5 linked regions of the Oryctolagus cuniculus genome follow. The protein of the gene in region 3 purifies or fractionates together with the protein of the main gene of each other region. This does not show direct contact. Links are inferred from orthologs where the notes say so. Each region holds a gene or a part of one and is shown on either strand. Other genes may lie near its edges. The genes, in order: SMAD7, SKI, RNF111, SMAD2 and SKIL.

What was found.
Region 1: the proteins of RNF111 (region 3) and SMAD7 purify together in Homo sapiens (affinity purification with western blotting; 3 studies listed by BioGRID). This does not show direct contact. The link is inferred for Oryctolagus cuniculus from reciprocal best matches to the Homo sapiens genes RNF111 and SMAD7.
Region 2: the proteins of RNF111 (region 3) and SKI purify together in Homo sapiens (affinity purification with western blotting, with the first as the bait; 3 studies listed by BioGRID). This does not show direct contact. The link is inferred for Oryctolagus cuniculus from reciprocal best matches to the Homo sapiens genes RNF111 and SKI.
Region 4: the proteins of RNF111 (region 3) and SMAD2 purify together in Homo sapiens (affinity purification with western blotting, with the first as the bait; 3 studies listed by BioGRID). This does not show direct contact. The link is inferred for Oryctolagus cuniculus from reciprocal best matches to the Homo sapiens genes RNF111 and SMAD2.
Region 5: the proteins of RNF111 (region 3) and SKIL purify together in Homo sapiens (affinity purification with western blotting; 3 studies listed by BioGRID). This does not show direct contact. The link is inferred for Oryctolagus cuniculus from reciprocal best matches to the Homo sapiens genes RNF111 and SKIL.

What each region holds. Positions count from the first base shown.
Region 1 is NC_091441.1:28,916,108-28,920,701, reverse strand, and holds the start of SMAD7 (mothers against decapentaplegic homolog 7), read right to left. Parts: upstream 2,836-4,594; coding exon 2,235-2,835; intron 1,105-2,234; coding exon 1,051-1,104; intron 1-1,050. UniProt on the Homo sapiens protein: Antagonist of signaling by TGF-beta (transforming growth factor) type 1 receptor superfamily members; has been shown to inhibit TGF-beta (Transforming growth factor) and activin signaling by associating with their receptors thus preventing SMAD2 access.
Region 2 is NC_091438.1:163,662,541-163,667,010, reverse strand, and holds the start of SKI (ski oncogene), read left to right. Parts: upstream 1-1,654; 5' UTR 1,655-2,421; coding exon 2,422-3,390; intron 3,391-4,470. UniProt on the Homo sapiens protein: May play a role in terminal differentiation of skeletal muscle cells but not in the determination of cells to the myogenic lineage. Functions as a repressor of TGF-beta signaling.
Region 3 is NC_091443.1:81,919,315-81,923,164, reverse strand, and holds part of RNF111 (E3 ubiquitin-protein ligase Arkadia), read right to left. Parts: coding exon 3,081-3,850; intron 1-3,080. UniProt on the Homo sapiens protein: E3 ubiquitin-protein ligase. Required for mesoderm patterning during embryonic development. Acts as an enhancer of the transcriptional responses of the SMAD2/SMAD3 effectors, which are activated downstream of BMP.
Region 4 is NC_091441.1:29,860,128-29,863,975, reverse strand, and holds part of SMAD2 (mothers against decapentaplegic homolog 2), read right to left. Parts: coding exon 3,831-3,848; intron 1,524-3,830; coding exon 1,386-1,523; intron 1,201-1,385; coding exon 1,056-1,200; intron 1-1,055. UniProt on the Homo sapiens protein: Receptor-regulated SMAD (R-SMAD) that is an intracellular signal transducer and transcriptional modulator activated by TGF-beta (transforming growth factor) and activin type 1 receptor kinases.
Region 5 is NC_091435.1:109,928,224-109,932,073, forward strand, and holds part of SKIL (ski-like protein), read right to left. Parts: 5' UTR 3,237-3,850; coding exon 2,142-3,236; intron 1-2,141. UniProt on the Homo sapiens protein: May have regulatory role in cell division or differentiation in response to extracellular signals.

The sequences.
Region 1 (4,594 bases), on a different chromosome or scaffold from region 3:
GAGGGCTGGCTCCGCGCACGGGGCTTCGGTTACACGTTCATTAAAGTATTTAATGTATGACAACGCCCCGGCAAAACTTTTAATTAGTGGGGGGAACGGCCCAACAGCCAAAATGCATGAGGCAGAAGGACCTGGAGAATTCCAGGACCTAAACGGCGCCCAGCCCTTCGCTCCTCCCGCGCCAGACCCTTGGCAAAACCAACCATGGCACCAGTGTGCGCCGGTGCACAGGCACAGACACCAGTTACAGTCTGTACTCTCCAGCAGGTGACTCTGCCTGGAAGAAGGGGCTGCAGGCTGCCAGCCTGTCTCCGGGGTCACCCCCCAGGTCAGTTCTGCTAACCCTGTCGCCTGGCACCGCAGCACCAAAGGTTGGGACCCCTGTGTCGCCAGCCAGAAATCAAACGCGGACAACCACAGCAGGGCTGATGCCAATCTCAAATGGGTTTCTGCCCTGGCCGGGGGCCCTCCCGAGACAAACCAACAGGCAGGCAGAGGTACCCTAAACACTTTCATGACCAGACCAAGGATTCCCAGGAAAAAAAAGGACAGGGCTGACTTGTATGTGACTGGGGCAGGGGGCACCTACTCCCCTCTGGCTTCTGGAACTTCTTAAATGCACCACCATCCTATCCTAGACAGGCCAAACTCGGCACCTCCATTCCCTCAAACCAGCCCTGATTCCTTGGGCACTCGCCACAGTCTCTGAAGGTTCCCATCACCCTGCTCTGCTTAGTCCCCAAGCCACTTCTTTGTGGCTTAAAGCATCCGGGTATTAAAATCCAACCAGCTTCAGAGGCAGAGGGCAAATATACGTGAAAATGGAACCCAAGGTAAAGCTTATCTAGAAGAGGTCTTTGCAAAGAAAGAAAGAAAAAAAAAAAAGGCAAAAAACCAGCCACACTAACACAAAGTCACCAAACTTCCAGCACAGGAAACCCAGGTGCCACTTGGGGCGAGGCCAGCACCTCCCCAAGGCTGCTGTCTGGACACAAAACACCCCGCTTCTAGCAGAATAGGAAAAGCATTTTTTCCAAGCCATCTACTCACCAGTTGGTTTGAGAAAATCCATCGGGTATCTGGAGTAAGGAGGAGGGGGAGACTCTGGAATTAAAAAGAGGAAATAAAGGCCGGGCCATGAGAAAGAGAGATAGAAACTTATGATAACAGAGGCATTCTTTCGGCCCCACTGTTTGTCTTAGCTGTGGGGGTTGGAGGCAGGGCTGCGGGGCGGTGATTGCCTTGATATTTAGCTGTCAGATAAACAAAAGAGGCCGCCTGGCGCCAGCCTCGGCGCTCCGCTCCTCCACGTCTGCGGCGGCCGCCGCCGCCGCGCTCGCCCAGCCGGGCTGGAAACCACCAGCTCGGCCGCGGCTCGGCCGGGGCCGCGCGCCTCGCGGCTCCCCGGGTGGAGGGGGGACAGCCCGGCCCCGAACCCTAGACCCCCATCCCACCTCCCGCCCCAGCCCCTGCGAGGGAGGCACGGGACTCCCCATTCCCAGCCCAGGGGGAAGACGCGCCCCAAGCGTGCTGGTGAGCTTGGGGGGCACCTCGTCCCAGGCACCTTAACCTTTGAAAGAAAAGGTGGGGTGGGGGGAGAACGCAGGCAAGTGGGAAGGCCAAAGGGAAGGGGCTCGGGAGCTCTGTCGGGGGAGCCCAGGCCCCAGCTCCGGGACGGGCAGCAACGTCACCAATGCGCTGGGATAGAGCATTCCAGACCCAGTTCTGCGCCCGTTTGGTGCCAGAGAAAGGAGAAGGCGGGGGACACTCGACTTCAGGCCTCTAGAACGGCGCAGCCCAGGGCGCCATCCCAGCCGGGCCTCCCCTGCTAACCCGAGCCAGGGCAACATCTGGGCCGCCCGTGCCCAGTGTCTCCGCGGCCGCCAAAAGCAGCTCGGCCCTCCCTCTCGCTTCTCCCAGCCTTCCTTGGCGGGCTTGGCCCGGATCCAACTCGGCCACACACCTCAGCGCCTTTCCGGGTGCGGGGGAGGCGTGAGCCCCACTTGTCTCCGCACCCGGGTGCCGATGCGGAAGTGAGGACGTCTTTTTAACCGCCCATCAGTACAGTGTGTGGTGGAGCTGCGGCCACAGGGCCCCTGGGGGCGCCGGACAGACCTGGGAGGGAACCCCCAGGGAAAGCCCTCGGAGCCCGCCCCGGCCCCCCGTGTCTCTCTCCGCCCGGGAGGTGACTCGCGGCGCCGCGCGCCGGTCGCGGGGCGGGAGCAACTCCTCACCTAGTTCGCAGAGTCGGCTAAGGTGATGGGGGTTGCAGCACACCAGTTCGGGGTTGATCTTCCCGTAAGATTCACAGCAACACAGCCTCTTGACTTCCGAGGAATGCCTGAGATCCGGCCACCTGAACACTTTGCACAGCAGAAGGGGCAGCGAGTAGGACGAGGGCGGCTGCGCGGGCTGCGCGCTGGCGGGCGCCCCCGGGCCCGGCCTGCAGTCCAGGCGGCCGGGCAGCAGGAGGCACGCGGTGCGCGTCCCGCCCCGGGACTCCACGGCCTGGAGCAGCAGCTCCAGCTGCCGCTCCTTCAGTTTCTTGAGCACCGAGTGCGTGAGCGCCTTCAGATCCGCCTCGGCGCCCCCGGCCGCGCCGACGCCCGCGGCCGGCGGGTGGGGGTGGTGGTGACCTTTGGCACCTCGGACCGCCTTGCCCAGGCAGCAGCCAGCCCTGCCCGCGCCGCCGCCACCGGCCCCATGCGCCCGGCCGTCCGTCGCCCCTTCTCCCCGCAGCTCGCCTCCGCCCGCACCCTCCTCCCCGTCCTCGCCGCCGGGCGCACGGCTCCTCCAGAGACGCCGGACGAGCGCAGATCGTTTGGTCCTGAACATGCGGGGCGAGGAGGCGAGGAGAAAAGTCGTTTGCCGGCTAAGGAGCGAACATGACCTCCGCACACCATGAAGAACTCGGGCGCCGAGTTGAGGCAGCAGGCGCAGGCGACAGCAGCAGCAGCAGCAGGGGCCCAGGCAGGAGCGGCGGCGGCCCGAGGGGCGCTCCGTGGCATGCGCCAGTCTCCCGGAGGCCGGGGCGCGCGCGGGGGCCCGGGGGCGCCCGCCGGGGCTCGGGGGCCTGCGCTCCGGCTGCCCCACCCCGCGCGGCCCGCGCCCTGCGCGGCTCTCGGGCCCCGGCGCGCCCCGGAGGAACGCGGCCGCCGCTTCCCTGGGGGCGGCCGAGCCTGCCCCCGTCGGCGCCTCCCCAGCGAGCGGCCCCCCCGCGGCGGCTCCCGAGTGTCGGGCTCGCCAGCCTCGGCTTCCTACATGGAAGATCCGCGGGGGCAGAAACCGAAAGGCGCCCGGCGAGGCTGCCCGAGCGAGCAAAGAGCCTCGTTCCCCCTTGCTAAGCAACTTAATTTGGGGGTGGGGAGAAGCAGGCAATTATAAAAAAAAAAAAAAAAAAAAGCAGGCACGCGATTTATTTTTTTCCTCTATATCCTTAGTAACCGGATCTCCTCGAATTCCGTGCGCACGAAGGCTCGGGGGAGGGGGCCGAGCGGACTTCACCCCGCATGAGCCGTCTGGCGAAACGTGGAGGTTCTCGCCGAACCTCAGAAGCAAATATGCAAAAGCCCCAGATGAAAACCACCAGCTCGTCCGCCCGCAGCCGGGGCTTGGGAGGAGAAAATGTTTACAAAGTGGAACAAGACGCTTGCGGGGTGCAGAGGCGCATCCACGAGCTACATGCCCGCTCCGTTCCTCGCAGAGCCTCGTTGGTCTTCCTCTCCGTTTCTTCTGCCTCCCCCCGAAAGATCGTGTAATTTTTTTTTTTTTAATCCACAGAAAGGTCGGGCTAGGCTGCTTCAATCCTGCGCATCCGGGTGTCCCAGGGGAGTCTCTGGTCTTTCCTCCTGCGGTCCCGGGGGCCCAGGTTCTCGGCGGGGACTTCCTCGGGGCTGGCGGGGGCGCAGGGGCAGAAGATGCTGCCGCTGCGGCTGCGGCGGCGGCGGCGACTGCGCCCAGCGGGGCTGACAGCGCGGGGGAACGCGGCACGGCGGCCACCGCGGGCCCCCGGTGGGTCGCACGCTCCTGCCCCCCCGGGCACAAGCTGCCGGCTAGCGCGGGGGCCGCTGGCGCCCCCTCCCCTGGCCGTGGCTGGCCGCCGGGGCTCCCCGCATGGGCTGCTCGCCCCGAGCCGGCTTCGGCGGCGGGAGGCCCCGGTGTCCTCTCGCCGCCTCCTCTGAGACTCCTCTCGTCGCAGCCGGCTGCCTCCTTGTCCCCCGTCCGCCCTCTCTCGGCGCTCGGGTCCTGCTGCCGCCTCCGGGGGCTCTCCGCGGCGCGCTCAGGGGCTCCGGGGCCGGGCGCTCGGCGGCTCGGCGCCGGCGGGCTGGCTCCGTCTCAGGCAGCTCTCTCCGGCGCGGCTCCCGGACCGAGCACGGCGCCCGGCTGGCTCGGCTGGCGCGGCTCGGGGACAGGATCCTCCGTGCGCCGAGCTGCAAGCGAGTGTGCCCGGGGCTCGCCGCCTCCCGCAAGGCCTCCGGCCCCCGCCCCCTTCCCTCCCCCTTCTCCCCCCTTCCCTCCCCCGCCCCGGCCGCCGCCGCCTCCTCCTCCCCGCCCCCCCGCCCGGCCCTCGGCTCGGCTGGTTCCACTGCGCAGT
Region 2 (4,470 bases), on a different chromosome or scaffold from region 3:
AGCGTGGTGGGACACCTGGTGGCATCTCACCGTGGGCCTGGACACAGCAGGTGGACACCAGCTGCCAGCTGCCTCCAGTCACGCAGGGGTCCTGGGGCTGGCCCTGGCCGGAGCTGGGCACAGGGCCTGCTCTCCTGCCCACATGGCAGCCAGTGTGGGGTCACAGGGCTGGCGACGGTGGTGTGGCGCTGCTTGGCCATCACCCCCTACCAAGCAGGTCCTGAGGGTGCCAGGACCCCTGCTCACGCTGCCACTACCCATCCCCGCATGGGGTGCAGCCACCCAGGCTCATGTGGCACCGGGGGTGTGCGGGCTGGCCCCGTGGTGAGGGACCCGGGCGTGTGCGGGCTGGCCCCGTGGTGAGGGACCCGGGCGTGTGCGGGCTGGCCCCGTGGTGAGGGACCCGGGCGTGTGCGGGCTGGCCCCGTGGTGAGGGACCCGGGCGTGTGCGGGCTGGCCCCGTGGTGAGGGACCCGGGCGTGTGCGGGCTGGCCCCGTGGTGAGGGACCCGGGCGTGTGCGGGCTGGCCCCGTGGTGAGGGACCCGGGACGTGTGCGGGGCGACCCCGTCCTGAGGGACCCGGGACGTGTGCGGGCTGGCCCCGTGGTGAGGGACCCGGGGGTGTGCGGGCTGGCCCCGTGGTGAGGGACCCGGGGGTGTGCGGGCTGCCCCGTGGTGAGGGACCCGGGGGTGTGCGGGCTGCCCCGTGGTGAGGGACCCGGGGGTGTGCGGGCTGGCCCCGTGGCGAGGGACCCGGGGGTGTGCGGGCTGCCCCGTGGTGAGGGACCCGGGGGTGTGCGGGCTGGCCCCGTGGTGAGGGACCCGGGCGTGTGCGGGCTGGCCCCGTGGTGAGGGACCCGGGGGTGCGGGCTGGCTCCGTCCTGAGGGACCCGGGACGTGTGCGGGGCGACCCCGTCCTGAGGGACCCGGGACGTGTGCGGGGCGACCCCGTCCTGAGGGACCCGGGACGTGTGCGGGGCGACCCCGTCCTGAGGGACCCGGGGCGTGTGCGGGGCGGTCCCGTCCTGAGGGACCCGGGACGTGTGCGGGGCGACCCCGTCCTGAGGGACCCGGGGCGTGTGCGGGGCGGTCCCGTTGGGCATGGGAGGCGGCGTGCACCCGCCCAGATCGGCTCCTCGGCGAGGCTGCGGTTGTTGCGGGGCCCTGTGGGTTTTGTTGAGGCCCGGGGGCGGCGGCAGCGGCGGGACGGGCGTCTTCCCAGCCGCGCAGGAAGCGGCCTCGGCCGGAAGGGGGGCCCCGGGCGCCACCGCCTCCGCCTCCGCCAGCGGCCTTCGGGTGGGCGGGGCCGAGGGGAGCCGAGCGGCGGCCGAGCGGAGCCGAGCTCCCGACGGGCCGACACGAGCGGAGCCGACTCCTCTGCGGGTGGTCCCGAGCGGCGGCCGAGCGCGGCCGAGCGCGGCCGAGCGCGGCCGAGCGGGGCCGAGCGGAGCCGAGCCCAGCCCAGCCCGGGCGGGGGAGAGCGCGTTCCTGGAAGAGCGCGGCTGCGGCGCGGGTCACATTCTTGGCCGGCGCTCGGGCTGAGGCGGACGCACGGCAACAAACAGCGCGGGGGGCGGGCCGGCGGCGCGGGGCGGGGCGGCGCGGGGCGGGGCGGCGCGGCGGCGGCGTGAGCTCAGCGCCGGGCGCTCAGTCCGAGCCGGAGCGAGCCGCCGGGAGGATGTGCGCCGAGCGCCCCGAGCCCCGCGCCGCCTCGGCCGCCGCCGCCGCCTCGGCCGCCGCGCTCTGAGGGCCGCGGGCAGAGGCGCCTCCGCCGCCCGGAAGCCGCGGGCGGGGGCGGCGGGCGGGCGGGCGGGCCGGGGGCCGGCGGCGGGCGAGACGCGGCCGGCCAGCGCCGCCGGGACGAGCCGGGCGGGCGCCGCGCGGTGGGAGGAGCGGGGCGGCGGCGGCGCGCCGCGCGAGGACGGCCCGGCGGGCCCCGCGCCCGCGCCCCCGCTCCTCCCGGGGCCCTCGGCCTCGGCCGCCGCGGCGATTCGCGCCTCGCGGCGCCGGCACCTGCCCGCGCGCCCCCCGCGAGCCCCGGGCCCGCGAGCGTTGGCGTTGGCGTTGGCGGCGCGCGCCGGGGCATGCCCCGCGCCTAGAGCCCGGGGGGCGCGCGGGGGGCGCGCGGGGGGCCCGGGCGGCGGCGGCGGGCGCGGCGCGGGGCGCGTGGATGTGGCGCCGGGCCCGGGCGGCGGCGGCGGCGGGCTCCAGCGGCGGGACCCCTTCGCCCCGCCCGCCTTCCCCTTCGCGCCCCCGGGCGAGGCCGAGGCCGCGGCCGTGATCGGCCGGGAGCCGGCTGCGGGGGGCGGCCGGGGCCGGGGCCGCGGGCGCCGCCGGGGCGCGCGGGGCGGCGGCGGCGGCGGGGGGCGAGGGGGCCCGGGCGCGCGGGAGCGGGAGCGGCCCGGGGAGCCCGGGCGCGCCATGGAGGCGGCGGCGGGCGGCCGCGGCGGCTTCCAGCCGCACCCGGGGCTGCAGAAGACGCTGGAGCAGTTCCACCTGAGCTCCATGAGCTCCCTGGGCGGCCCGGCCGCCTTCTCGGCGCGCTGGGCGCAGGAGGCCTACAAGAAGGAGAGCGCCAAGGAGGCGGGCGCGGCCGCGGTGCCGGCGCCGGTGCCCGCGGCCGCCGAGCCGCCGCCCGTGCTGCACCTGCCCGCCATCCAGCCGCCGCCGCCCGTGCTGCCCGGGCCCTTCTTCATGCCGTCCGACCGCTCCACCGAGCGCTGCGAGACCGTGCTGGAGGGCGAGACCATCTCGTGCTTCGTGGTGGGCGGCGAGAAGCGCCTGTGCCTGCCGCAGATCCTCAACTCGGTGCTGCGCGACTTCTCGCTGCAGCAGATCAACTCGGTGTGCGACGAGCTGCACATCTACTGCTCGCGCTGCACGGCCGACCAGCTGGAGATCCTCAAAGTCATGGGCGTCCTGCCGTTCTCCGCGCCCTCGTGCGGGCTCATCACCAAGACGGACGCCGAGCGGCTGTGCAACGCGCTGCTCTACGGGGGCGCCTGCCCGCCGCCCTGCAGGAAGGAGCTGGCGGCCAGCCTGGCGCTGGGCCTGGAGCTGAGCGAGCGCAGCGTGCGCGTGTACCACGAGTGCTTCGGCAAGTGCAAGGGGCTGCTGGTGCCCGAGCTGTACAGCAGCCCCAGCGCCGCCTGCATCCAGTGCCTGGACTGCCGCCTCATGTACCCGCCGCACAAGTTCGTGGTGCACTCGCACAAGGCCCTGGAGAACCGGACCTGCCACTGGGGCTTCGACTCGGCCAACTGGCGGGCCTACATCCTGCTGAGCCAGGACTACACGGGCAAGGAGGAGCAGGCGCGGCTCGGCCGCTGCCTGGACGACGTGAAGGAGAAGTTCGACTACGGCAACAAGTACAAGCGGCGGGTGCCCCGGGTGAGTGTCCCCGCGCCCGCCGCGGCCGGGGTGGGGGGCGTTGTGCAGGGCGGCTGAGGGCCGAGCGAGCGCACGGCCGGGGAGGGAGGCCCTCCTTCCCGGCCCCCCTCCCCCGGGGTGAGCCCTGGCGGCGGCCAGCCGGGGGCCGGGCCTGGGGGGCTGGGAGAGCCGGCCGAGGCACGCAGCTGTTGCATGCAGAGGCGGGCGCGGCGCGGGGAAGGAGGCCTGCCCCAGCTGGGGGAGGTCGGATCTGGCAGAGCCAGGCCAGGAGCCCCAGACCCGGGTCCTCCGTGGGGCCTGCTCAGGCTCCAGGCCCAGGGCTGCCCGCCCTTGGTCCCCAGCCGGCGGCCTGGTGCTGGTTCCAGCTCCTTGTTTTGTGCTTTGAAGTCTTGGGACACAAACGCGAGAACGGAGCCAGGTGTCCAGGCTGCGGTGGCCCGCGGCCGAGACTTGGCGTCTCCTGGGCCTGCCGGGGAGTGAGTCCCAGAGCCCCGTGGAGGGCCAGGGCCAGGGCTTGGTTTCCTGCTTTCCCTCCCTGCCAGGCGCAGGCCGGCGTGGGGGCTCTGGCCTGGCGCCCCGGCCGCGCGCGGGAACTGCTCACTGGGTCCTCGGGGACTTTGGGCTGTACCCTCCCCACCCCTCCCCCACGCCCGCCTGGGCAACTTTTCTTCTGGACGCCGGCTTATTAAGGCGCACACGCGGACTGCTGCGTGGGCTCAGCCATTCTTGGGAGGCCTAATTAACGCAGCCGCCGCATCAGACTTCTTTTCTGAGCCCGTGAATAGATGCTGCGGCCGGTCCTCTCTGGGCGCCCCTCCAGCCAGTGTCAGCCGCCGGGAGGAGGGGCGGGGGCGGGGGCCGGCGCCCGGGGAGGCCAGGCCCCGCGGTGTGCAGAGGGGGGGCTGTGGCGGCTGTGACGGGCGCCCCTCGCCTGCCGGCGGCCGTTGTGTTTGGGGTGCCCACCCCCACTAGCTCGTGTGGCCCGAGGAAGCCACGTGTGCGGGGCGCGGGGAGCGCGCACGTCACGGGGCTGCGGAGCGGGGAGGAGGGTCTGGGCTGAGCAGGGCGTGTCTGTGTGCG
Region 3 (3,850 bases):
AATAACTTTGTAGGAGCAAAAGCAACTGCAAGCAGGAAGATGCTTTATAGTAACTAGTATGCAAATGTGGAGTAGACATGGTTCTACAATATGGTTTTTGTAGAGAGTATGAGTTTTGGAACTAAGAATTATACAAATCTTTTAAACTTTCTAAGATTTAGTGTCTTGATGAGGCTAAATGTGCAGAATACTGTACATGACACAAAGTATGTGCTCACAAATTAGAAATACACACTTAAAGTGGGTGTTTTTTTTTTTACTCTCATATTCTTATTATGGGATAATTCTCATCACAGATAGGATTTGTAAACTGTTGACTGACATCTGTATTGACAGATGATGGAAACACTGATAGCGGCATGTTTACAAAAAGTTATTCAGCACCAGATTTGTGTAAAATCTATCCAGAGAAGAAATAAATAACCTGCTCTTTTCTATCATTTTAATCGTCCTTAATACAGTTCAGTAGTATTAAGTATATTCAGACTGCTACGAAACAGATCTCCAGAACTTTTTCATATTTTATTAAATCGAAATTCTAGAATTATACCCTTTTCCACCATGCCACAACGCTGCCCCCCCCCCCTTAAAAATGTAAAAGTAGATAATGGTGCAGCATGAGGCAAATATTTTCCAGAAATCTGTTGATTTTAACAAATGAACTGATATTTGCAAAACAATATAAAAAATTTCATTCTTAGGTGATTTGCTAAAATCAATTATCTATAACTTTTGTGCCTAAAGGTTTTTTTGGTCAAAATAAAAAAAAATTTGAAACAGAAAGCTTCAGGCTTTCTGTTGGGCCAGGCTAGACTGGAACCAGAGCCGTAGGCTCGGAACTCAAGTCTAGTCTCCCACACGGATGGCAGGCACAAAGTCACTTCAGCTATATCAACAATGCCTCCCAGTGTCTGCACCGGAAGGAAGTTAGAGTCAGTAGCTAGAGCTAGGAATCAAACCCAGGCCCTATGACTTGGGACGCAGGCATAATAACCACTAGGTTGAATGTCCACTCCAGGAATCTTACCACAAAATGCTTAAAATATAAAACGTTTTTTCATTAATTCACTACTCTAACAGCAACTAAGTATTGATGAATTTCATGTGGACAAAGTTGCCCCAGTAGCTCCAGAGTAACTAATATCCATCCATACAAATCATATAAACATTTAGTAGGTAACTCCAATTAAAAGTTGAGACCTCCCAATCCTAATTTTAACACACAGTAAAACATAACAGATTTAGCAGCAGGCATGTGGCACAGTGGTTAAGATGCTTCATCCTTCCTGGAAACAGACACTGATTCTGATCTTTATTCATAATATTCTCACACACACACCCCGCCCCCCTGCTACAAGTAACAGTTCCCTAGAACTTCTGCTCCACATTACCAACATCCTGCATCATAAAATTCCAAGCAGAAATTGAGCTCTCCTAACCCATTTTCCCAAAACTAGAACCTACATTTTTTGATCATGAGGAAAAAAATCTGGTAATTTAGAAAGACAACTCCTGTTATTACATTCCTCTTTCTCAGAAATCTAAGGAAATGACTGCTGTTCCCCCAAGCCTAAGGTGATCACAAAGAACTCTTATAAAATAAGTATGGTTGGCTTTTAAATATGGACTACATATGGCTAAAGCTAAGATTACCAACAAGGTTACTGTTTTTAGGGGTCTGGTAAGGACAGAAGAGGAAAAAGGAAAAAGGAAAGAGAATCCGGAGAAGGCAGTGACTCATACAGAGGGAGAGATGAAAGAGGGAGACATGGCACATCTTAACAGTCTGAACAGTAGACTTGCAGACTCTGACCTTAACAAGCAGGACATCAGACAAAACTGGGAAAGCTCTGTGTCAGTATTGGAAACCATGATCCCACTCCTTTAAAAAGGTCTTCCGATATCCTATTCCCTTCCTCTCTGATTTCACAAGAAATTTATCTTTTCCCTCTGCTCAAACTTAGTTCCTCAACACTCACTTCAAAAACATTTAAGGGGCCGGCATTGTGGGGTAGCTCATAAAGCCTCCGCTGTAACTCAGGCATCACATATGGGTGCTGGTTTGAGACCCAGTTGCTCCACTTCCAACCCAGCTCCCTACTAATGTGATTGGAAAAGCAGTGGAAGATGGCCCAAGTGCTTGGGCCCCTGCACCCATATGGGAGACCCGGATGACGCTCCTGGCACCTGAGTTCAGCCTGGCCCAGCCCTGGCTGTTACAGCCATGTAGGGAATGAACCAGGGAAGGAAAATCTATGTCTCTTCCTTTTTCTGTGTAACTCTTTCAAATAAATAAATAAATCTTAAGAAAAAACTTTTAAAATTACAACCCCTTTAACTTAGAGTGGTCTGTATTCATGGGATATATTTATACTTCAGGACTGCATACAAACTTATAAACATAACTTTCACTATGTATGTGGGGGGGGGGGGGGCATGAGCACATGAGTACTGTTCCCTTTAATTCAGTTTTAATTGCTGAATCATATGCCCTAATGAGCATTATCAAGACAAAGTTTCTGGGCCATAGTATCAAAATAAAAGTTACCAAACACTGGGATTCATTTTTCAGCTGTAAAGAAATTGTATTTCAGCTACAATGTAACAATAAACAATAGAATACTTAAAGGAAAAATAATATTAAGCAGTCTTTTTTAGTGACTAGAACTGTTCTTAGTATACTTGAAAGTGAAAAAAGTATCACACAGGTATCTTAAAATGTATTCATGAAAGTTAAACATATGAAAGAAGAATGATAGGAAAAAAACAGTTGTGTATCACAAATCAATATCTCATAAAATGTAATCTATTATGTATTAAATGATGTAAATTTTTATCCTCAAAAAAAAAAAAAAAAAAAAAAAAACTCTGTTTTTACCACCGGAAAATTTAAAAACTTTTATCTCAGAATTGGAGACATGGCTTCAAATTACAGTTGATAATTTACTTATAAGCATAAAAATAAAAGATAATAGAGTCCAATATTCCTTTTATTAAATACTGTGACATAGAAATGAGAAAATAATACAAAGACGATGTAAAAGCTGCCATGTTCTACTCATCTTTAGAAACGCTTTTACCTGAGGGAGCAGCTGGATTGTTTTGGTGGTTTTCACTGGCAGAAACAAACAAATCTTCTTCTCCTTCAGTTGATGAACTGGAAGAGGATTCACTGCTGAGGTCATTCTCGCTGGAACTACTGGAACTTGGAAGCAAGGCATATTTTCTTCGGGCTAACACTTCCCGTTTCTTCCTCTGCATTAATATCCTCTCTTTTTGCTTCTGTGTCCTCTGTGAGGAATTATTTTTTACAAATCTTTTTCTGCATGGGAGTCTCCTTAATGAATTGCTATGAAAACAAGGTCTTTTCATTAATAATCCTGATACAGATTCTGTCTCAGTCCGAGGCCACTTCTGGGACCGTGCACTATGACTTCTGCTTTTAGCATTCAAAATGGTTTGGGAATGCCTTACAGAAACTTCTTTGTCCTCATCGGACGTCACAGTATCAGAATCTCCAAAATGCAGACTAGATGAAGGAGAAGAAAGGCAATCACTAAAGGAGGAATCATTATCTTCATCACTTGGTGGCTCTAGGTGTTGCCGCAATCCTAATACTCCCTGGTTCTCCTTAACACAATCCTGCATGTAAGAAGGACCAGCCTGCTGGCTTTTGCGTTTTTTCCTTACAGCACGTTTTTCTTGTTCTTGTTGGTTACTATTCATATCCTTCTCTTGTTTTTGAGTATCATCACACAAGTGAGAGAATTCATTCCCCACTTTATTATTTATCATTTCAACTCCTGCAGGAAAACTTTTGGCTGCCCCAATGGGCTCTGGATGCAAAAGG
Region 4 (3,848 bases), on a different chromosome or scaffold from region 3:
TCTCCTTAGAGAAGAGGTTAAGAGTCAAGCAGAACTGTCTTCCAATCCCATCTCAACCACTTACGATATGTCCTGGGGCAAATTATCAAAATTTTCGAAACAAATTTCCAAACAATTTGTAAATCACAAAGAGTGCAACTGCACCGATTTTAATCATTTAAACAAAGGATTAACAACATAAAGCGTCATTCTTCTCAGGATATACAGTACAGTGGCTGGCATCACAACAAGTACCCTTCTACTCCTGAATAACAGTCCCCTGATCTGAACCTCAAAGAGCAACCCCCATTTTCTTTGGAGGATATGTTTTATCCAGTGGATGACCAAAACCATGGATAACACCGAACCCTATACACACTATTAAGGTTTTACCCATACATACATACTTAGTACCTATCATTTACAAATTAGGCATAGTAAAAGATGAATAATGACATAAAAATAGAACAATTATAAGAATATAATAATTTACTTAAAGCTTATTTCAGGAATTTTCCATTTAATATTTTCAGAACTTGGCTGATCACAGGAACTGAAAACTGTAGATGAAAGAGGACTATTGTATTTGGCCTTAACTTACTTGTCCAGTCTTATTTTTCTCTATATGCTTTCTGCCAAACCAAACTGCTATTGAATTGTCAGGATTATAATTTCCTATCTCACCCACCCTGTCTGTGACCACTGCATCTTACAGAACCTGGACTGAGACCGTGTGCCATCTTTCCCAGGCAGCCATCCTCAAGTTCTAACTGCCAATGCTTCTCTTTCCATGAGCTGACATAGCCTTGCAATATACTCCTTTTATGGTATTCAGCAACCTGCATTATGTTAAAATGTGTGTCCGTGTTAATCAGATTTCCTATAATGCCAGCACAGTAATTTGCAACAATTTTGATTCTACAGACCTCCACCTTTCTTTCATTATTTTACATAAGGATCGGCTGACTCTATTACCAATATGAAAACAGACACATGGGAACTCCAAAAGATGCGAACAATGGAATAAGAAAAGAATTACACAGTGGAAACTTAAAAACTGAACATGGATTTCATACCGGTATTCTGCTCCCCAGCCTTTCACAAAACTCATTCTTATGGTGCACATTCTAGTTAGCTGATAGACGGCTTCAAACCCCTGATTAACAGACTGAGCCAGAAGAGCAGCAAATTCCTGGTTGTTGAAGATCTTGAGATTACAGCCTATGATTGAGGGGAAAAAATAAAAGAAACTGTGTAAAAAATAGTATCACTATTAGAAAGTAATTTTAAAATAGCTAGAGGTTTTAGAATACAAGCATGCAAATCATTGCCTGATTCCTAACATTAGCAACTAGAAAAACGAAGCGAATTGATGTGACAGGTTTATTGACATTGTTGAATCATACCTGGTGGAATTTTACACACTGTTGCAGGGTGCCAGCCGTATCTCTGATTACAATTGGGGCTCTGCACAAAGATTGCACTATCACTTAGGCACTCAGCAAAAACTTCCCCACCTATGTAATATAAGCGCACTCCTCTTCCTAAAACAAAATACATATGGGATTAGTTTTATAACACTGTTTCAGTGTGACTTTAGAAGAGTCTTCGTGGAGACATTCTAAAATGGTGTGAGCTATTTCACAGCTATGCTTTTCTGAAGTCTAACGTCGAAATATACCACTGTATATTTTTATAGTTTTTTTTTTAACTATAATTTTACTAAGTTTTAAAAGCAACATGAGGGTACTTCAAAAACCTCATGGAAAAAAATGGAATTAAAAGATAAGTTTACTTCGGTGCAAAAACCTTTTTGAAATCCATGCATACCTTTGATAGCACACATTTGCCACGACCTTCTTGAAAACCCTGCACATATGCTTATCAAAAGCATTTAAACAAGAAAAGGACAGGGATAGTAAAATATTTTCACACAAAGTATATATTATTTTAAAATAAGAAACAGTTAATTTAAGGAATTAGCTAATGCTTTGACAAAGATATCTTCATTAAAATAGTTTTTCCTTAAAGATCCACTAAGATTAAGAAGGTAATAAAAAAGATTTCAAGAGTTTAAGCATCATTCACCTTTTTTGAAACTATGTATCATGGTGGCAACCAAAATCTCTCTTAACATAAACGGAATTAGTTAAGGGAAAACTTATCCTAGCAGACAGTTCTAACAGCTCGTTCAGCATCTGACAGATCAAAGACACACACACACACAAATCAGAAATAAGAATTTGTAAAACAGAACTGTCGGAGGCAGATCCTGAAGTGTCCCTAAGAGTCAGCCCTGGCACACGTGCGCCTTCTCTGTTACTCAATCCAGCCAGGTGCTGTTGGGAAGGGACTCTGCAGGTGGCATTAAGGAAGCAAATCACTGGAGGAGGATTATCTTTGTTGTGCAGTAAAAGAAAACAGGTAAAACAACCAATAAGCCAGATTTGGTAGATGCAGAAACTGGTAACTTATTAAGATTATGGGATATTTGTAAAACAATCAGGTGCTTGCCCATTAGTAAAAGATTAAGTTGAAAAAAAAAAGATTTTTCAGGCAGTATTCTCTGATCAAAACTACTTAATACACTAGAAATCTGAAGTACAAAAAATGATCTGATAAATACAGCAACCCAAAATTTTATAGAGAGAAGTGAATAAAGTTTCTGTTAAATTTTTATGCGGAACCCCAATTAAAATACAAATACACAGAAAACCCCCACAATTATTCTGGTAAATGTAGGAGTAGACAGATATTCAGAAGCCTTTCTGAGCTACAAGCACATCTGGGTACGTTAACGAGATTATCCACATTTATACACCAAGCAAGATTTGAGAACTTCCACGTGGAAACAGTTAACAGATCTCCTAATCACTATCATTTTGCAGGACCAAAATCACTCTGGCTATCAGCAGTATTTCCCATGGGAGATGAGAGCTAATTCTAGGAAAACAGAAGCAAAGTTTGGTTAAGTTACTTTGAAGATAAGAATGACATTCAATTATTAAAGGCTTTCAAACTTATTTGATTCACTGCTAGAAAAAATATTGAGGACTCCAAAGAGCTTCTGTTTGTATGGATCACATTTATGGAAACTTAGACGTCAGATATTAAAACAGACTTAAAAACACGCACAAGTTCAATTAAAAATAAATCAATCATATCACCATTAATGTTTACAGAAAACAACCATATTATCCAAAAGAAAAAAATAGTGAGAAGAGTGACAATGCTTCACATTTTTGCACATCTCTTAGGTCTGTCAGAACATAGCTGGATTTTCCTATCAGATCTACATTTGGTAGATCTTGCAAATCCATATGCCATGTAGCCTTTGAAATACTCCAGTGTGTACTTATGAAAGAATGAGAGTAAAAATGGTACCATCGTAATAGTTCTGACCTCAGAAACTTGCAAGTGTTTCTGGGATTACCAGATCCGAGACCACACTTTGAGACCCCCCTGAATTATATTAAATGATAGCTCTTGCTTTAAATATTCAGCCTAAGATTTTTAAAATCATTTAATATATGAGCTCACAGAAGGAAGAAAAAAATACAACAGGGGATATAAACAAACTGAGGAAGAGGACCTCATGATTTATAACAATTAACCCTACTATCTGAACACACTCATTTTATGATGGCAAAAACTTAACAAACTTATGTTATTGTAACACACATTACTGAAGAACTTTTCAGTGTCAAGGGTGCCAAATAATAATTTGAAGGCAAGAGTTTGCAGATTGAAGAATCAAAGAAAGCCTGTGTACTTAACCATGACAGCAGCTGAACTGCCAGAGGACTGGGTTCTTATACGTAAGTTCTTTGCACAAGGAACATAAAACATACCTATATGTCTTCTTGTCA
Region 5 (3,850 bases), on a different chromosome or scaffold from region 3:
GATAGCCCAAGTCCTTGGGCCCCTGCACTGGCATGGGAGACCAGGAAGAAGCTCCTGGCTCCTGATCGGCGCAGCTCCGGCCATTGCGGCCATCTGGAGAGTGAAAAGGCCCATTCCATAATTTGAGAATATAGTTTATCTCTGAACACACACTTCAGCACTGGACAAGGCCACTAAAAGCCAGTTCCACACTCTGAAGCTTGATTCAGTCATTCCTGCTTTAAAATCAGTTAATAGCTGCACCTGTAGAACATAAACTTATCTAGCTGCCACTGGCAAGGAATTCTGAAGTATACACCTTTTGGAAGTAGTAAGCTATAAACAACCCTAATGAGAGTCTCAAATTAGCTTCACTGAACTTCAGGAGTAAACCACTTTATCATTCACTAATTTTTCCTTAAAACCTTAAAGACACCATAATAACGAGTATGACACCAAATCTTAGTTTCTAGTCAAAACTCTTAAATTTGTTGTAAATAACCTTCATTCATTCAATATGCTTCATTCAGTCTCTAAAAATAGAAGCAGCAGAGGTATTTCAAGGAATCAAAATTAAATAATGGAAAAATCAGAATTTGTCAAACAAAACATAGCCAGTCTTTTGTTGTAATTATACATGTAAAACTGTAAGAGCAATGTTTGCTATATTTTAAACACTTAGCATTAATTATATATCCATTTTAGCAAACTAGGAAAATACATAAAGTAATCAGACCAACAAGTTGAATATTTAGTAACCCAAATCTTGTGGATTGCCCAAGCACTAAAAATCTTAAATCAGAATAAAAATATCAGTTTTATCTGCCATATAACACAACGGGGAAAAAAAAAACAAGTTAATGATATCTTTGTTGACAGTTTTTTACGTCATTAGTCAAAAACAAAATTTTATCTGTGTCATAATAAAGTATTTCTTTGTTTTAAAATAGTCAGGGGCTGCCTCTGTGGCATGGCAGGTAAAAGCTACCGCCTACAGTGCTGGCATTCCATATGGGCACTGGGTCAACTCCTGGCTCCACTTCCCATCCAGCTCCCTGCCAGTGCGCCTGGCAAAGCAGCAAAGGATGGCCCAAGTACTGAGGCCTCTGTACCCATGTGGGAGACTAGAGGAAGCACCTTGCTCTTGGCTTCGGCCTGGCCCAGCCCTCACCGTTGCAGCCATTTGAGGATTGAACCAGCAGATGGAAGATCTCACTCATCCTCTCCCTCTCTGCCTCTCTGTAACTCTGCCTTTCAAATAAATAAATAAATCTTTTATAAGTCTTGGTTACTAGAGTCATAAAGTCACAAAATCATGGGTGTACCTTTGAAAACTGTTATCTGGGCCAGTGCCGCAGCTCAGTAGGCTAATCCTCTGCCTTGCGGCGCCAAAAGAACAGGTTCTAGTCCCAGTCGGGGCGCCGGATTCTGTCCCAGTTGCCCCTCTTCCAGGCCAGCTCTCTGCTGTGGCCAGGGAGTGCAGTGGAGGATGGCCCAAGTGCTTGGGCCCTGCACCCCATGGGAGACCAGGATAAGTACCTGGCTCCTGCCTTTGGATCAGCGCGGTGCGCCGGCCGCGGCAGCCATTGGAGGGTGAACCAACGGCAAAGGAAGACCTTTCTCTCTGTCTCTCTCTCACTGTCCACTCTGTCAAAAAAAAAAAAGAAAAAGAAAAAAGAAAACTGTTATCTGAAGCCCAAAGCCTGAAGTGTTGTGGCTTGCCATTATTATCTTTTGTATATGGAGATAATAGCTAAGTGTAAATTATCTTTAGTCCTAGGAAAAAAAACAGATTTTGTCTTCAAGAAGCAGGATGTGTGAAAAAGAAAGGGTATGATTTGAGACAGTCGCCCCAACTCTTCCACTCCCTGGATACATAATTTTGGAAGGGTCATTTCATTTTCTTAACTTCATTTTCTTATCTATAAAATAGGAGTAATCCTACTTCATTCACAAGGTTATCTGGAAGGTCAAATGAGAAAACATACAGAAAAAATATTTTATAGCCTAAAAATTACAATAGAAACATAGCACACTGATCAATGTTTTGTTGTTATCAGTACTAAATCTCTTGACAGGTGAAGTTACACACTAAAGAGATTTCTGACTTCAAAGTAAACCATTTCCATTATTCAAAATTGTTTATTATAAAACAAACTTGCCTTAGACTGAGTTCTCTTTCCATTTCTCATGGTAAATTTCTCCTTCATTTCTTCTAAAATTACCTTCAGTTTCTTTTCTTCAGGTGTTCCTAAGTACTTTTGGTTAACATGAAGATAACAATGCCATTTGGCTGATTCAAAACCCCAGTGGCAAGTTCTTTTGTCAGGTGACCTGTGAGAATGCATCACAAATGTCTGAGGTGCGAACATTCCACAGCACTCTAGACACTGAATACATGGAGCATCAGGCTGAACATAGAACTGGGGTGCAAACAGACCCTGACATTTGCCCAGGCATTCATGTTCCACTTCAAAGGCACTGCCAGTTTCCTTTAACTGGGCCAATGAATTTTTAGCAGGAAGTACGCTACCGTTCTGAGGAAAAGTTCGTGGCCGCAACAGAGCGTTACAGAGTCTTTGTGCATCAGTCAATGTGATCAGCCCACAAGACGGGGCATTGAATGGAAGTATTCCCAGGACCTTTAAGATATGAAGCTGGTCTGAAGTACACCTTGAACAATATATGTACAATTCATCACACACTGTATTTATTTGCTGAAGTGAAAATTCTCGAAGAACAGAATTTAAGACTTGCGGCAAACAGAGTCTCTTTTCTCCTCCAACTTGAAAACAAGAAATAGACTCCCCTTCCAACATAGTCTGGGTAAGTTCTGTGGAGCTATCAGAAGGGATGAGCAGTGGACCAGGAAGAACCTGAGGCGATGGAAGAGGCAGAAATACAGTAGGGGACATGCTCTCTTGGGAATAGCGAGCAGAAAATGCTGCTGGCCCACCCAGAGAGCTCTGACTACTTAAATGGAACTGTGCCAGCGTGTGCTTCAAACTGGGATTTAGATTTAAAGATTCAGGCACAGAAGTACAGGTTCGCTTGACATGCTCTCCGTCAGTCTCCATCGGCGCTTCTCCAAAATCATCCACATGCTCCTTCTTCACCGTTGGCACCTTATTTATCATCTTTCCATTTGCATGAATGTCTGTCATCATTTTTTTCACGGGGGGGCTGCCATCATCTGCCATCCCATTCAGTTTTTTATTTGAGCCTTGAACCAAGAAGTTTGTCTGTAGGTTTTCCATTGAGACAAAATGTGTTAAATAATTAAGTCTGAGATTTGCATTTTCAATTAATTTCTTATCTGGAGAAAAGTACTGTCCACAAATACTTACGGTAACTTAACTAATAGAAAACCTTCCAAAGCAATCGCCTCATTCAATAGGTTCCGTACCTTTTAGCTTGTGTCTGCTTAAACCCTAGTATAATTCTACTGCAAATGCTGAAAAACTTGTTTTAGCTCTAGTAATTGATTTTAAGAGTCACACCTCTGAAGAAACCTTTCTTTTCTTGAATTCTTCAGGCACATTTAGCAAAACAAAGTTACCAATTTCTCAAGTCAAGATATCCAGATTCAATGCAATTGTCTGGTTTGGTTCTTTTAAAGTAAAACACATGGAAGGCTCATTCCATCACTTGTGCAATAAAATCTAGACTCAAGCACAAGTCAAAACGATGTAACCAGATTCATTTCTGCCGCTGACACCATAAAGGTGTTGGGGTAAGTATTAGTTCCTCTAAAATGATGGCATTAGCCTGTGTTGGCAAAATGAAGACTTGTATAAATCCTCACACCAGTAGGAAAAGCCTTTAACTCCACTAAACGTTCATAATTCAAATTGATATTTAATGAAAAATT